2 linked regions of the Drosophila melanogaster genome follow. Changing the gene in region 2 together with the main gene of any one other region gives a genetic interaction. Each region holds a gene or a part of one and is shown on either strand. Other genes may lie near its edges.

Region 1 (6,889 bases), on a different chromosome or scaffold from region 2:
TTTGTTTGTATTTGTTGTCTTTTAAGCGGCTTTATTTTACTTCTTTTTCGGACTTCTTGAACTTGACTGACAGTGCTGTTCCATCTCACTCACTCATAGTGCTTCGCTCTCTTTCTCTCTCAACTGGCGCAACTCTCTTACCCCTCGCCATCACTTCTTACCAATTTTTATTACATGGAGTGAGTGCAACAAGAAGTGGTAGGCAAAAGGAGAATAAGAAGGTAAAAAACAAGAAGTTGCTTAGGTAGAAGAATTGCTCCTTCTCTCTCTGTCTCTCTTTCTCATCTTCCACTTTATTTCGTCTTCTTCATGGATATTCTTATTGTACCTTTTTTTTGTGCTTCTTGTTGTTGTCTTGTTTATTACCTGCTTTTATTTTTTGTTTTCATCTTATGCGCCTACAACTTTACTTATTTTTTATTCTTATTTTTTATATATGTATTAACTTTAATTCACTTGTAATTCAAGCAGTCTTCAAAACCGCAGATCATGTTGTGGGTTCTTAATTTTGCCAGCCAGTTTCTTTTTGAAATTCAACTCCTTCTTCTTAATCTTCATCGTGATTCTGAAAATGTTTTTTTTTTTCAAATTAAGAGTTGAGTTTCATATAGACTTCCTCATCTAAGCCTCTCTTTTCAGAAGAAGTCGTAGATATCAAGTAATGAAAATTGAAATCGATTTTAGGGAGAAGAGTTGTATTTGTAATCTATAAAGCTACGGAAGTAGAAAAATGTTTATCCGTGACTGTCCCTATGGTTAATACATATTTTAACCCAAATTTATGGCGATTAATATGCAAGGAAAGTAATGCTAAGGAAATTACCAGGATCTACGAGTAAACAGCAACATTAAGCAAGGGATAGGGATAATTAAGCTGGATTTTCGTGTGCTCCTAGCGAGGGAAGGAAGAAAAAAATGGGGGGGGGGGAGTGGTTGTGTTGTCTAGTCGTCTTTTCACCTGAGGGAAATGGGGGCGGGGCCAGCCCGCCAACCCAAAGGTCATTTGTATGCGTCTTTAGTAGCGGGACATGTCCGGCGTTTTATGATGAGGAGAAATCACCTTGGGGCCCAAATCAAAAATTCAATAAACATTGAACAGCGACGACAGAACAGACAGAACGAGCAGAAAATCTGTTTTAAAATTATTTACCATTCTTGGGCTGCTTGTAAGTCCTATGCATTCATTATGCAAAGCGCGTGGCATGACTGCTAAATAAAAATATTGAATATGCAGAGCCACTTCAGCTGCTCAGAAACAAAGCGGAAAAAATCAATCATTCGCGGTATTTCTCAAAAGAAAAAAAGAAGAAAAAACCCTACATAATACCAAGACTTAGTGCTACTGTTTGGGTAAATTATAACAATTGCGTACTGATTTTAGTGGATAATCTAAACACTATCTATACTATACTATATACGGTATAATTGTTATTTGAAAGTACAAACAATTTTAAGTTTTTTTTTGTAACCTGGCTCGTGGGTGTGGTCATAAAAAAGTCTAAGAAAGGTTTAAGCTGCTGAGTGTCGTAGCAGTGAGGTTTTCGTCTCGAATATAACGTGTTTTTTAGAAAACGGGTTTACTTGAGGTGTGCAAGAGGAAGGAGGTCTCTTCACAAACTCTTAAGATAACTGGTTTAATGTAGATCGCTACAGGGGGTGCGAAAGAGATGGACATAGCTATGTGCGAACTTAACGAAGTTTACTTGCCTTCAAGCTCGAACTTGTTGCATGTACACTATCGCCGCACCTTTCGCACCACTCTTATACCCGTCACTCGTACAGTTAAAGGGTATACTTAATTCGTTGAAAAGTATGTAACAGGCAGAAGGAAGCGTTTCCAACTTTATAAAGTATATATATTCAGGATCAGGAACAATAGCCGAATCGATTTAGCAACACACTTTCTAACACTTTCGCATTTCGCATTCGCATTTTCACTAGCTGAGTAACGGGTATCTGATAGTCGAGAAACTCGACTATACCATTCCCTCTGGTTTAAAACCAACTTGTTGCTGGCTTTTCTTATTTATATTTTTCTTGACTAATTTCCCGACTGGTTTTTCTTGTTGGCCAAAGAAACGAGTTTTCTTGGAAAAAGGCACTCAAAACCTCTAGGAAAATGCAACATGTTGCTAAAGGCAAATTGAATTTCCATACAAAATTGCTTCTATTCGTTGCTGCCTTAGGCTCATTTTCACCATTTGGGTCCGTTATCGACGAAAAAAATATAAAATATATAAATACGCATACAATGTTTTTAAAACCAAATGAAACAATTTTTTTTCCAAAATGGGTTTACTTCTCCTTAAAAGTTACATATAAAAGAAACTACATGATGATTTAAACTTAAAAACAATTTTAAAATTATTTCAAATTTATTGGTTCTTTTGTTGAAAACATTACATGCCTAAAATATAAAGGCAACATTTATTATTTGTTTTCTGAATATAATCAAACTTAAGAGAAATTCGCTATTATGTTCTCTTAATAAAAGTCGAGTCAAACATGTTAGCTTAACTTAACAGCGCTGTTAACGGCTCTCATCAAACGCGTTCGACTCGAACTTGTGCGGACTGTGTTGTGGAACTTGAATTTTGCGGCTGCGGCTCAAATTTTCGTTTCCCTTTCTCTGTGTGTTTTCCCATTTCGGATCGAACGCTTCGTGGAAAAGTGAGCGCGCGTTGTCTGAATTTCCCGCCGCGTTTTTCGTCGATTTCCGCGTGTGTGCGAACAACAACTCAGCAGCAGCAACAACAACAGTCCCAATTTATTGGGTAAAACGCAGAAAATATACTAAATTTGAGGTATAAAATTGAAATTTATACAAAATTACTGTGCACAGTGTATGTGTGTGTGTGGTTTCAGTGGCAGTGGAAAGACCAAAAGCAACGGTATACAAAATCAAAACAATGCAAGCAAGCAACAATAAATACAAAATAATAGATTTATTTCGAATAAACAACAGTTAAAACTTTAAGAAAAGGAAACGAAGCTAAGATAAATAAGAAAAAAACGCAGCATCTGCGTCATCTCTATCTCGCTCCCTCCCTCCCGTTTTATCCACGATCTCTGACGATCGCTCTGTCCCCCTCGCACTCGCACATCTTTACCGATTTACCTGGGAAACAGGTTTAGCGTCCATTTCGTGTGTATGTGTATGCGTGCGTGTGATTGTGTGTATAACGTGTATTGGTGTGTTTCTTGGAAACCTTTTAAGTGATTTTCTTACCTGCTCAAAAGTACAACAAAAGCAATAAAAACATGTTGCAACTCTAAAGCAACAACAAGCACGAAAAAGTGTGAAGCATAAATGCAGTTATAACTGTGAAAAAGGAGAGGTAGATAAAGGCGAAGCAAAGATATGGATAAATGAGATGAAAAAGAAAACTTAAACAAAGTAAAAAAAACCTGTTAAATTTTTTTGATATATTAATAATAAAAAATATATTATTAATTATTGCAAATTTATGAAAAAAAAAAAACAATGGATGGATACAACTTAAAAGAATTAGTGATAATACAACAACTGCCATAAGGACTTGGATTATAAACATAAACTGCACTTGAATAACTAATAAAAAACAAGAATGCCCGTGGAACCACATACAACATCTTAACCCCACAAAGCCGAGCAATTTCTAATCAACAACACCATTCTTAACCCTTTTCAGTTGTTCTTCTTCGTTTTCGGCTATCCGTTCAAAGTTTCGTGTGCAATAAATAAAAAATACTATATCGTCGAAAGCATAAAAACATTAACCAACGCAATGGAGCGTTGCAACAACACCACTAACTGCGAATTGGAATAAGAAGTCCAGCAAAAGTAGCAAAAATTGTTTTTGCAAAGGGAATTGAGAGTAGCACCCAAAGATAAGCAAAAACAGTAGAAACATATACAAAATATATTCAAAATATAGTCACAAAATGAGGCGAAAAACTACCACGAAAGGGACGGCAATAGTCAATAGCAGGAGTGCGAGGAGAGCAGCAACGACTATATGCAACTTTTTTCTCATCGGTAAGTTTACTTTGTTCGTTTGATAAGAAGCTTTTTGTTTGCAATGGAGTTATATATGTATATAATTGCTAAGAAGATTACCCAGCTTTTCTCGAGCATTATTCCAGAACTTAAATATCTATAGGGGGTATCACTTGAGTTCATTTGTTTATCGGTGGTAAGATTGATAGCTCCCGATAAATCCCAATCTATTCGCTAGCTCACTCTTTGTGTTCGGCACACGCATATCACAAATCAATTAAAAGTTTCGGTTCCGCCCTTGACATACCCTGCTTATGACAGCTCCCCTTTTTCCGCCACTTTCCTCCGGCATTTTCCCCCTGTTTTTTCAAGTCGCCTTTGCTGTTGTCACCTTGCGACGTCACTTTAGTTTTTTGTTGATCTAGGTTGTTGCAGCTTGACGTCAGCGTAAAGTTTTTTATCTGCTACCCAAGCCTCCCCAATTTTCCACGCAATTTTCCGCAGCCCACCCCTTTGTTGGCTCCTGTCAATTGGCAGCATTTACTAGGAAGATATTGAATCGGTAGCTAAAGTAAAGTCGATATTCCATGAAAAAAACTGATTAACCATGTATTTACTATGTCTATATCCACACTTGACAGTCTGAAAGATATAAGTATCGTCTTAATTAAAAATTCCAGCATAATTTTCCACTTTCCAGATGCTCCGCATCAGTTAGGAAATGCTGTTATTATGCAAGAATATTTACTGTGTCACAAATAAAGGGCGCAAAACTGGGGGAGAGGACACAGTGGTATAAGTATAGGAAAAACTTTAGTTTGGCACGCTTCGGCAAAGTTTTTCCCTTCCGCACACATAATGCTTTGCTTACAAAATGCTTTTTAATACTTAAAGAACCCCTGGAAAAGTCGGCAAAGGGGGGGGGCTGGGGCTAAATTTAAATGTGAATTATATCCACTCAATCGGGCAAATCGGTCAAGGGAAGTCGAAAAGGGGAGCAGCCAGTTCCTTTTTATTAATTTGTCTGGCGATTAGTTGGGGGCTAGTCCCTCTGAGTTTTTAACCCCCTCAAAAGATATATTGCACCATTAACTTTATGGCGCTCTCCGCGTTTTCAGCTCGTGTTTTGTGTGTGTGCAATCAGTTAATAAACAAAACGTGTTGATTTGACATCTTAATTGGGCCTTTGACACGCGTTTTCCAACGCTTTTATACGAACTACTCGTAAAAGTCGTCTTTGAAGCTTTAACTGTCAACGCCTCCGACCGAAAAAAAAAACGAGAAATCAATGAACTCTCTATGGAGGCTTTTTAGGCCTCAAGCTTCTGGGGAATTGCTCCACTCGGGGGCATTATTAGATTTGATGACAGTGGCCAAGAGGGAATTGACATTTAAAACAGGCACGCGGATCGGAGGGATCAGACATTAAAAACGCATTAAAAGATTAGCAACGAGGAATGGTGGAAAACTAAAGACCTTTGGCGGCTTAGGATAATAATTACTTGGTAATGTGCAAATGGGCTGAACTAATAACCTTAGCGGTTTCGTGCTTATATATGTAATGTATAAATAGTTTAAAAATATTTAAATATTTATTTAAATAAACCAACATTTTCCAAAACGCCCCTTCCATGATTTATTTTTAGCCATGTCTTGTGTCTTTTTCCCACACCATCTACTTGATTGTCAGCACATTTATCCTGTTGATCCTTGAAGTGCATTCCAATTTGGTTGAGTTTTCCTTGGAAAATCCCCGGTGCCGTTGTGTGTACAGTAAAATGCTCAAGGAGCAGCACAGGATATTGCTTAAGAAGTGCTCGAAAGGCAGTTTGCAACAATTTGTGTGCGTCTCCTTTGGTTTTTATGTTTATTTCGTCTGCCTTTGGTTTTTATTTTCGTTTGTCTACCTGCTAACTGTCGCCCTTTTTCCTGTATTTCCATGCCGCTTTCCCTTTGAGTTTTCCACATTCATTTCATTTCCTGGCTTTTCCAAATGCCTGCGCTCCTAAAACGTTACCTTACCCCGCCATTTTCCCACTTTTCCCTCCGTGTTTTTAGCGCGTGAATTATGATTGTGGCTTAGTTTTTCTCACTTTTCCGGAGTTGTTATTGTCCCTGTTTTTTTTTTTTTTTTGTTTTTTGGTCCCCTTCATATCATTTTCCACACATACACACACACACACTCGCACACGCTTGCTGCAAAAATATCTGCAACTGCTGCAACTTTGAAATTAAAATAAATTAAACAAATATTTTGTTTGTTTCAAACATTTTTTACGTGCAAAATTCAGCGACGTGTGCGGAAATGGGTTGCCCCCCCCCCCCAAAAAAAAAGAGCAAAAGAAAGAGAAGGGACCACTGGTGCAGAAAGAGACAGGTGGAGCAGAGGCTGGCAACAGATGCGGTGGAAATGAGAAACGCTTTTCCTGCAGAGGAAAATTTATCTATATGCACAATTTGCATTTGCAAAATCAAAGCTGGATTCCACAGGAAAGTGGAAAAGAGGAGATGGCCAGAGGCATTGGCTTCAAAGGGGATTTTGAGTTTAGATGCAATAAATTGGTTTAGCCAGCTGAAAACTTTGTTGTCCGTTGTGGCAATATTGATACTTAGAGGGTTGGGTTTTAGTAAACAAAAGAAATGACAAACTAAAGTTGAAATGTGTTTTGGGCATTCCAGCAAATTATGGCAGTTATTTTGTGCACAAAGAGGCAATTTGTAAAGGCATTAAATCAATATTACGGTATTGCTATAAAATAAGGCAGGAATTTGAAACAAGTTGTATAGCTTTAGAACTAATACTGTGTATTCCAAGTTTGGAATTTAAAAAGTGGCCAACATTTAGTTTATGTTTCCCCGAATTTCAATCTAACCCCATGGAATCGGAAACACAGCTTTTTTGCCTCTCTG
Region 2 (9,492 bases):
AAGCACATGGTTATATAAAAGATACAAGCTGTAGTAAGAATTATGAGTTTTATGTGTAATTCCAAGGCTTCTTTCGAAATTAGCACATGACAAGTATCTGAGTGAAATAGGGATTGTAAATAAAATTCACCGGATATGAAACCCTATCCAAATTATATATGAAACTCTAAATGATACGTTTCAATCCTTTATTCTTTTCCTAATGTAAATCCTTAAAACATCAACACCATTCTTTTGAATCATAGTGATTTTGAGTAGTTCATTGGAATTCATAGGACTAGCTTAGCACATGTATTAATTTAATATGCACTTATCTAACACGCTAACAGCTACCAATCAGCGACGAAAGTCCAATTTATAGGGGGGGGCAGAGATACGGATACGCTAGGGGTTAGTTGGTACGCTCCTCCACCTTCCTAATGACCACGTTCAGGGCAAGATTACCGTCCTCAGAGAACAGTTCGACGGTGTGCTTATTGAGCACCAGGAAGTCGGCGTTGGTGAACGAGGAGAAGTTCTCACGGATTGATCTTGGCTTGGATTGCCAGCGGAGAGTGCGATTATAGGCCTCCAAGGAGATGTTATACACGAACTCGGCGGCATCCTTCATGGAGCCGATCATCCGACAGGCGGTGAAGTACTGCTGACAGTCCTCTCCCAAATTGATCTTCTCCAGCGAGAGGAGGAAGTGCCGCCCATGGCAGGACTGCACCATTGTCCAGTCGAGGGCACCCTCCAGATTCACATTGGTGGCCAAAAAGATGATGTCGTTGCCCTCCATGGTGATCACGTTCTCGTGGGAGCTCATCAGGTGCTGGTATACGTCCCTCAACGGTCCCTGCCAGGAGCACTTGTCATCCGGATACGGGCAGAAGTACGGACGGCATTCGCAATCCTCCTCGTGCTTGGTCTTCTCTGCGTAAGAGAGCCGCGCTCTGCAGCCGAAATGCGAATGCTTGCAGGGAAAGATCAGCTTGGAGGCCACCTTCTCCATTGCCAGGCTGCGGATGTTGGTCATGAACACCCGGCAGACGGGGCAAATGGTCAACTTTGAGCGGCAGGTGGAGCAGATGAGGTGGCCACGCGGGCACTGCATAATTGGCGGCATTATGTAGCCAAAGCACACCGGGCACTCGAGCAAAGCCATTAGAAAATCGTCTCTTGCACCACTGCGTGTTGTGTCCAATGGCCCAGTGGCCACAATTCCCGACTGCACAGCCACCGAGTCCTTCCGCCTAGACGGCACCAGTTCTCCGGCAGCGGCTGCGTCCGGGGATTGCCGCTTGACCACCACAACGTGCGTGGTCTCCTCCGGCGGCACGACCAACGCTGGTGCCGATTGACGACGAGTCAACATTTCTCCGGATGCCGTTGGAGTGTCAATAGTCCTTTGCGGACTTACCCGCTCCGGCCACGATAACTGGGGGCGTGAGTTGCGAACAGACATCTGTGCTTCAGCCAACAATCAATGCGCAAGCTATTAATCCTAAGACCTAACAACCAAACGATTCTGAAGAATGAGAGTGCCGATGGTTTTACTTTTTTTTTACTTTTTCTGAACACTGAAATTTTGCTTAAAAGAATTCGAAAATACAATCTGTACCACAATACAACGAAGCTAAAAGTATAATGAGCTACTTTTACTTCGGAGCCTACTTGCTTTAAATCATTTTAAAATCAGCTTAAAAATTTATTTTTGAAATTGGCCTAAGTATCCTAGTAAGATACCAATCCAGCTAAATCTTTAAGATGCTTCGGCGGTGCACCACTAAAAACTTGTGCCATCTATTATTGCAACGTTTTAAAACGCATTAGAAGTAACCCAAGTATCTCAAAGATAATCCAAATTAAACAGATAACTGATTTAAATCGACAAGTTTATAAAGTGGCGTAGCTCTTCTTTGTAATTCAGCTTCCCCCAGATTAATTTCAATAATTAACGAGCATTGTTTACTTTTACTAATCATGTTTATTTCAGTTTTGTAGTTTTGTGTCTGTGTGAGTGATCTCATATGGTAGTGGCGCGGTAAATCGGCGCATTAAAAGCTAATTACGGTGCAGATGCTTAAAATCATTAATTTTTCTTCCGTTTTCGATTGGGAAACGTTGGCCGAATGGAAATCAAAACCAAAACATGAGCCAAACCGGGGAGATCGTCTTAACTAGATAGAAATTTAAACATTAACATTGCTTTATATGTTTGGGGGGACTTGGGGGGAAATGGGAAGGGGCAACTGTCTTTTTAGCATTGCGAAAAAAAATGTTTTCTTTTTTTTTTAGTGTGTTTTTGTTATTTTGTGATGGTTTGGCATGAACAAAATTGCGGGTCGCAGTTTCGTTTAGGCTGCAACTTTCAAACAACTCTCGAGTTATTACAGATTATCGCTATCAAATATTACTTTTCTTTGTGGGTTATTAGGTTTGTTAATTTCGTTAAACTGTTCGTTTTACTTATTACCATTTACAAGTATTGTATAAAATAATTTACATTAACTAAACTAGACTTTGCAGTACATGTTCGAGTGGATGAGTGACCTCCTCGCCTTTCTTGCTGTTCTCCTCGTTTTGGTGAGTGGGTCTGTGTGTTCCTAGCGTTCACTGTAGTAGGTGGTGGGCACGTGGGCACGCGCAGGCAGCTCTGCTCCAGGTGTGTGGACCTTACGAACTAAATTAAACTAAAGCAGAACCCCATGAACTAACAAAACGGGTAACACTGAAACTTTGAAATATATAGTATTGTGTGTGCGGTAACTGAAAAATCATGTCCTAGAACTAGAGTACCAATCGAACCGATTAAACATACAAACATACAGGTCAGCCACGATTTTCGCATTCGACAGGAAAGTGTGTTATACAAATCTGCGAAATCTCACCAAAAATATTTGGCATTTTTCTGCAAACGAGTGAGATTTACACACAGTCATGTGCAAACTAAAAATGAAAATACGAATTTTAAACGCGGTTTTACAGGTTTAACGAACGTGTGCAATAAACACTGAACATCACTTAGCAATTGCTTTAATACGCTTTCCATTTCGCTTTGGAAAATTGTGAGTGTCTTAGCTTAAAAATCAAAGAAAACTGCGATATCGTGCCGAATGTGATAATCGAAGCAGCCTGATATTTCCATAGATATATATACATATGCATGTAAGTGGCTCTTAGAATAGAGAATCATTTTTATAAAACAACTCTGCAAAACTCTTTCTTCTTAATCTCCAGACTCACAATCTGTCCACGAGTTAGACGCCTGATGCGAACAGAGGGCTATAAACTATATATGTATTTGTATCGGAATAGTAAACACAAGAAATGAAAGAACCCGACGAATTGACAGTGCGTTTAGACCAGAGATATGGTCACGTTAATGCCCAGGTTGCCATTGTCGGCGAACAATTGCGCAATCGACGTGTCGAACACCAGGCAGTCCGAGTTGTGAATTGCGGAAGCGACGCCCTCGTGGATCGAACGCGGCATTGCCTCCCAGGTGAGCCGGCGTCGGTTTCCGTTCAACTCCAGGCGATAGACAAAGTTCTCCGCTTCCTTGCGCGACCCGATCAGCTGAACGATGGCAAAGAACTGCTGGTGTCCGTCGTACTTCTCCTGCTTCTCCAGCACGAGCATAAAATGGTGGCCGAAGCAGGACTGCATCATTACCCAATCGACGGCGCCGGGCAGGTTGATGTCGGTGGCCAGGAACACGATGTCCTCGCCCTGCAGCGTTGTGATGCTCTTGTGCGACATCATCAGATGCTGCATGACTAGGTCAAGCGGGCCCTGCCACTTACAGCTGGCGCCCGGGCACGGACACAGGTAGGGCCGGCACTCGCACGTCTCCTCGTGTTCTGTCTTTTCCGTGTAAACCAGCGAGGCGGTGCATCCGTAGCCGGAGTGCTTGCACGGGAACTTGACGTTCGAGGCAACCTTCTCCATCGCCAGGTTGCGGATATTCGCCAGCGGACCGCGGCAGGTGGGGCAGCAGGTGAGCTTGGAGCGACAGGACACGCACACCAGGTGCCCGCTGGAGCACTGCAGGATCGGCGGTAGCACATAGTCAAAGCACACGGGGCATTCAAACAGCGAGGTCAAGTCGGCGGACATGCCCGCATCACCGCCACCGGCGGACGACAGCGAGGAGCTGGACGACGAGGATGTGTTGGCCGAGGACGTGTTGCCGGCACTGGAGGATCCGGTCGAGGTGCTCGTGTTGGTGGCCACTCCCGTGGCACCGGCTCCTGCTGCTGCTGCTGTCGGTTCGCGGCGCTTCGGGTTGATTTTATTGGACATTGGAAGGGTTCTCGCAACGGCACGAATGTGTCTACAATTCTTCTGGGTCCCTGCAATTCTCGCCAGGTTCAGGTTCTTCGCCCTCCCGGTGGCTTCGGCAATGGCTTTCTTGTGCTTCTGTCTAAAATGAGATACAATCACAGGTCAGTGAGTAATGCGGTCAATTTAGTCATAGCATATGTATAATTTTTTTTTCTTTTTTTTGTAATTTTGTTCGTTCAGTGATAAGAAACTCCAAAAAACAATAACCTACAAAACCATACAGATATCTTAACAAAAATAGTTTGTTTCGATTAGGCTTAGTTAATCCAAAAATAACATATATCAACCAACAAAAAAAATCACAGTATAACACACTGCATAAATGCTGGTTTAAATTTGAACATATGTTATGAGCTTTCTATCGATTTTGCGGCTTAAGTTCGGAGCATACTATTGATTTGAATGTTCATTCCAAACTATTGTGCCCACTGGGACATGAGTAATAGGCAAAAATATTTTTCCATGAAGTAATAGAAATGAAATGAATGCAAACTGTGTAAGCAAAATCTACTCGATTGCTATAAAAAATGTTGCCCAGCAAAACTACTATCCATTTGTAATAATTTAATTTGAGCCTTATTAATTTAAAACTTATTTCGCGTAATCACTACTACTAGGTAGTTCGTTTTTCGTGCCGCCCAATAGAAAAGCCAAAGCGATTTATCATTCCTGGCCTTAACCTTGCCGTGGATTCCCAATTGTTGTAATTACCGAAAAAAGAAAACACACGCATTTGCGTGTATGGGAATTGCATTTAAGCAATTACTTAAAGCGGAACGTATCGAACCGGAGTTGGTCTGCGAAAAGCAAAGACACAGCCCGAGGTCGCCGTCACGTCTCCGATCGAAATGAAGGCCCGATTCCGATTCCAACTCCGAGCCCAAGCCCAAAAGCCTCTTGGCGGCACGTGTGGAACGGCGCAAATATGTTGGCTCTTATCAGGCGGAGCTGACGGAGCCGACGCTGATGGACGGCCATTAGGGACGTCGACCCATGGCGGGATTGTGCGATGGTGGGTGTCGTGCTGGTTGTAATGGGTGTGGTTCGGTTTCACGGGTTTGTCCACTTTGGACAGAATGGGCACACATTAGTGTGAACAATATGCTGTGGGTGCTTTGGTGCGTTTATAAGATAAATATCAATATAATAATATAAAGTTTTCGTAATTGTTTAGCTTTGATGTACAAACAAAACTTGTTCTCTTTCCTAACGGGAATATATTTGCTATATGATTGCTATCAAAATTTTGTGTGAAAGGAGTTCAGTAATATTGTTTATATTCGAAAACAAACTCAAACCTAAAAAATAAATAATATGTTTCCTTATTAACCCAAAACAAAAACACATGAAACGCATGAACATACAAATGTTTAATACTTTACCCTATATATTGGAAAAATTATTTGAACATTTGCCATTATGAAATTCGTACCATCGCCCGCATAAACGTAATATCGTAATGAAGAGTGCGTAACGTAACAAATGCAACGAGGATGTGTAGGGGGTGGGTGGCGGTAGGGGATGGCAGCCGCGGGGAGGGAAACTCACACACTTACAACACAGACACAGATCGCACACACATAATTAACAGTTCGTTTACGTTGCGTACCGTTGGAAACGTTCATACGGGGTAAAAATGGTAATTGCCACAAAAGTCATAGCCATGAATATAATTAACTTAGCTTCTGCTTTCATGAGTTGCAAAATGGTAAAATAGAAAACGTAAGTTGCGGAGCAAAGCGAAATGCGACTATCTTTCTTTAATTTATGCCGCCATTAAGTGCGACTAGGCTGCTGTTTAAACAGCAACAACAACTGCGAAATACATAATCGTTGATATGTAAACTTACATGGCAGGCTGCCTCCAAGAAATTGTGCCGAGGTATTGGTGCCCCGCTGCGTTGGTGTGTGTGTGTATGTGTATATTTTATTTTCTTGTTATTTTTTTGTTTCCTTTTTTATCAGTCAGTCAGCCTTTACGGCCATGCACACACACACACGCATACAGCCAGCATGTGTGTGTATATATCCTAGGTGCAAGTTCCGTTTTTTACGTTGCAATTTGTTATTTTTTTAACCGCATATATATATATAACCAATGCAGGTGGTTTTGCTACTGCACACGCACACTGGGAAAATGGAAAAACTGTTTTGATTGCTTTTCGCCTTTTCGTTCACCTTGCACCGAACCGAAACTCGAAATTCAGGCGTGAGCTAATTTCATTTGGCTTTTTATCTAATTTTCTTTAACGCGACCCGCACACATACACATTTATTCATATTTAGCTTTACTAGTTATTTTCGCCTTTTCTGCCTCTGTGTTGCTGCTGCTGCTGATGTTGTGTTGTTGTTGTTGCTGCACAAAAATAAACCATTTGCATTTACACACAGGCAGCGAAATGGGTTTTTTTCGTGTGTCTCACTTTTTCTATATTGCGTTCTTTGATCGTCGCAGTCGGCGTTTATTGCACTTGCCCTTGCGCGGTGTGGAATTCAGTCTTTTTCGGCATTCTCCATGTACTTTGGGCGTGATGTCTGCCTTTAGCTGGTTAATTAATTAATTTACTTTACTATACTGAGTTTCTTCTAATGTCCGCGTCGGTTGCAGAGATGGAACCCCAATTGTCGTCTATTCGATTCCAGATAGTCGATTACACGCAATCGGCAACATCGCAGTGCCTCCTGGTAGCTATCAATTGCTGTCATCGATTACTTAACAGCCTTGCCACGTTTGTCAAATTAATTTAATAACAGGAAAACATCAGTTTTGAAATAATACAAATCGAATCAGGCGCATAATTTTTAAAGGATCAAAGTTAATAATGTAGTCTGTTACTCTTATTGACAACTAAAGCCTAATTTTTAAAATAATTCATTAATAAATACTTTTTTATGATTTATAGTATTTCCAATCAAATAATATAGGCAATACAAAAAATTAAATAAAAATATTGATTGGTGATACCTTGACCTTGTGTCACATCATTGGCGGGAATGTTTAAGAACTTAGTTTGGATCGGGAAATTCGAAGAAACAAATTTACGAAAGAGTAAAATTGCGTTTTACGAATATGAAGTAAATAAATATCCTAATACCAAAAATCCCATTAATCTTCTTCACTTTTATGCATTTCCAGAGGGCTACCTCACGTCCTGCTCCTTCGACTATCTTTCGGACAACTTTGACACCCGGTTGTTTGTGGGCACCATCTTCTTTTTCAGCTTCGTGTGTCCCACGCTGATGATCCTTTACTACTACTCGCAGATCGTGGGCCATGTCTTCAGCCACGAAAAGGCCCTACGGGAGCAGGCCAAGAAAATGAACGTGGAGTCGCTGCGCTCCAATGTGGACAAGAGCAAGGAGACGGCGGAGATACGGATTGCGAAGGCGGCTATCACCATCTGCTTCCTGTTCTTCGTGTCGTGGACGCCCTACGGCGTAATGTCGCTGATCGGGGCATTCGGGGATAAGAGTCTGCTTACACCAGGAGCCACGATGATCCCGGCCTGCACCTGCAAACTGGTGGCGTGCATAGACCCATTCGTCTATGCCATAAGTCACCCCAGATACCGCTTGGAGCTGCAGAAGCGCTGTCCCTGGCTGGGAGTCAACGAAAAGTCTGGGGAGATCTCTTCGGCGCAGTCCACGACCACCCAGGAGCAGCAACAGACTACCGCTGCATAGAACCAAGGACAACTCTACTCTAAGACAACTGACCATGTAACATGAAAGCCAAGGAAAAAGTATAAAATGCCGACAACGAAACTGTATAACATTAATTTTATAATTTGTAGTGTGACATTCTTGAGTTTGAAATAAATAAATAGTAACTTATTGCAAACGAAGTAGAAAATGAGTCCCGTTTTTTATTTGAAATTCGGTTCTTTGATGTCATTATTTTGTTACTATTTCTACACTTACACTTAAAAATTAAATAACAAATTCAACTCAAATCCTAAACACATTTACACAGTTATTTGGAGCCTCTTCATTCCTAATAAAATCATAAAATCGAGTTTTTTTTTCAAAATAGTCAGTTATGTATTTATTCGGTTTTTGGGTAATATCTTTAAGATACCCATTGTGAAATCTGTTGGCATTTGTTAAACAAAATGAAGGTGACCCACCAGGAAATAAATTCCATGACCCTGGCTAATCCTCAGTTGCACATCAGGGAATGCAGTCGAATGACCGCTCGGTAATCGTTGTGCGACAGCAGACCACGCTGCGATCGCTGTAGCACTCGTTTCAGCCGCTCTACGGTCTCTGTGTTGGAGGTCATCTTGAAAAGATCATCGAGGTACTTTAGCGATTCGCGTGACCAGAACATGGACGGTTTGTTGGCGTCCTTGTTGATGCTGCCAGGTTGATTGTGATCCATTTCACTCAACAGACGGTCACACTCCGGATTGAGAGTATGGCGCAGCTGAAGATCGGATCGTGATCGTTGCTGGAGATTATTGTAGGGCATCTGGTCGATCTGTGGACGTCGTAGATTCTGCTGATATTGGTTGTTGTCTTGCTGCTGATGCTGCTGCTGTTGTTGCATACGTTGCTGTTGCACACGTTGTTGCTGGTGTTGCTGTTGTAGACTTTGCTGCTGTTGCTTTTGCTGCTGCTGCAAGCGTTGCTGTTGGTTTTGATGTTGCTGCTGCAGACGTTGCTGTTGCTGTTGCTGCTGCCGTTGTTGATTTTGTGTTTGCTGATCCAGGGCTTGACGTTGCTTCTTCTTTGACATTTTAGGAGGTGGTGGTGGAGCCATGTCCTGCCGAACTGGTGGGAGAGGCGTTGGCGATGGTGGCCCCTTACTAGGCGATTGCGGCTGACTCTGCGTTTTCTTTTGTTGCAGTCCCAACAGCACAGGATCTATGTGCAACGAGGGCAAGCGATTCTTTTGATCCAAACGTCCATAGCTGTTTAGCAGAGAGTCGTAATTCGGATGCGGATATGACGAGAAGATCATTCGCCAATGCTCCTCGATCTCATTGCGCAACTGTGGCGTGGCGTGTTCATCTGGCGAGAAGTCATCGATCAGGCGACGCAATAAGACTAGCAACTGATCGAGATGTGTTTTGCCATTCAGGAGTCCCGCCTGGCCGACGAGGATCATGTTAAGCTGGCGGCGCTTTTTTTCTGCCATCTTAAAACCGTTTTTGGTGTTCA

What was found.
Region 1: of sina (region 2) and ed, changing one suppresses a phenotype caused by changing the other (phenotypic suppression), as found in Drosophila melanogaster (one study listed by BioGRID).

What each region holds. Positions count from the first base shown.
Region 1 is NT_033779.5:4,028,752-4,035,640, forward strand, and holds the start of ed (echinoid), read left to right. Parts: upstream 1-2,625; 5' UTR 2,626-2,804; intron 2,805-3,671; 5' UTR 3,672-3,924; coding exon 3,925-4,018; intron 4,019-6,889.
Region 2 is NT_037436.4:16,851,213-16,860,704, reverse strand, and holds sina (seven in absentia), read right to left. Parts: upstream 6,955-9,492; 5' UTR 6,180-6,954; intron 4,787-6,179; exon of another isoform or gene 4,721-4,786; intron 4,409-4,720; 5' UTR 4,288-4,408; coding exon 3,343-4,287; 3' UTR 1,993-3,342; downstream 1-1,992. Other genes in the region: CG13029 (uncharacterized protein), read right to left, coding at 1-8; sinah (sina homologue), read right to left, coding at 392-1,447; Rh4 (rhodopsin 4), read left to right, coding at 7,466-8,013; Zcchc7 (zinc finger CCHC-type containing 7), read right to left, coding at 8,489-9,492. UniProt on the Drosophila melanogaster protein: E3 ubiquitin-protein ligase that is required for specification of R7 photoreceptor cell fate in the eye by mediating the ubiquitination and subsequent proteasomal degradation of Tramtrack (ttk).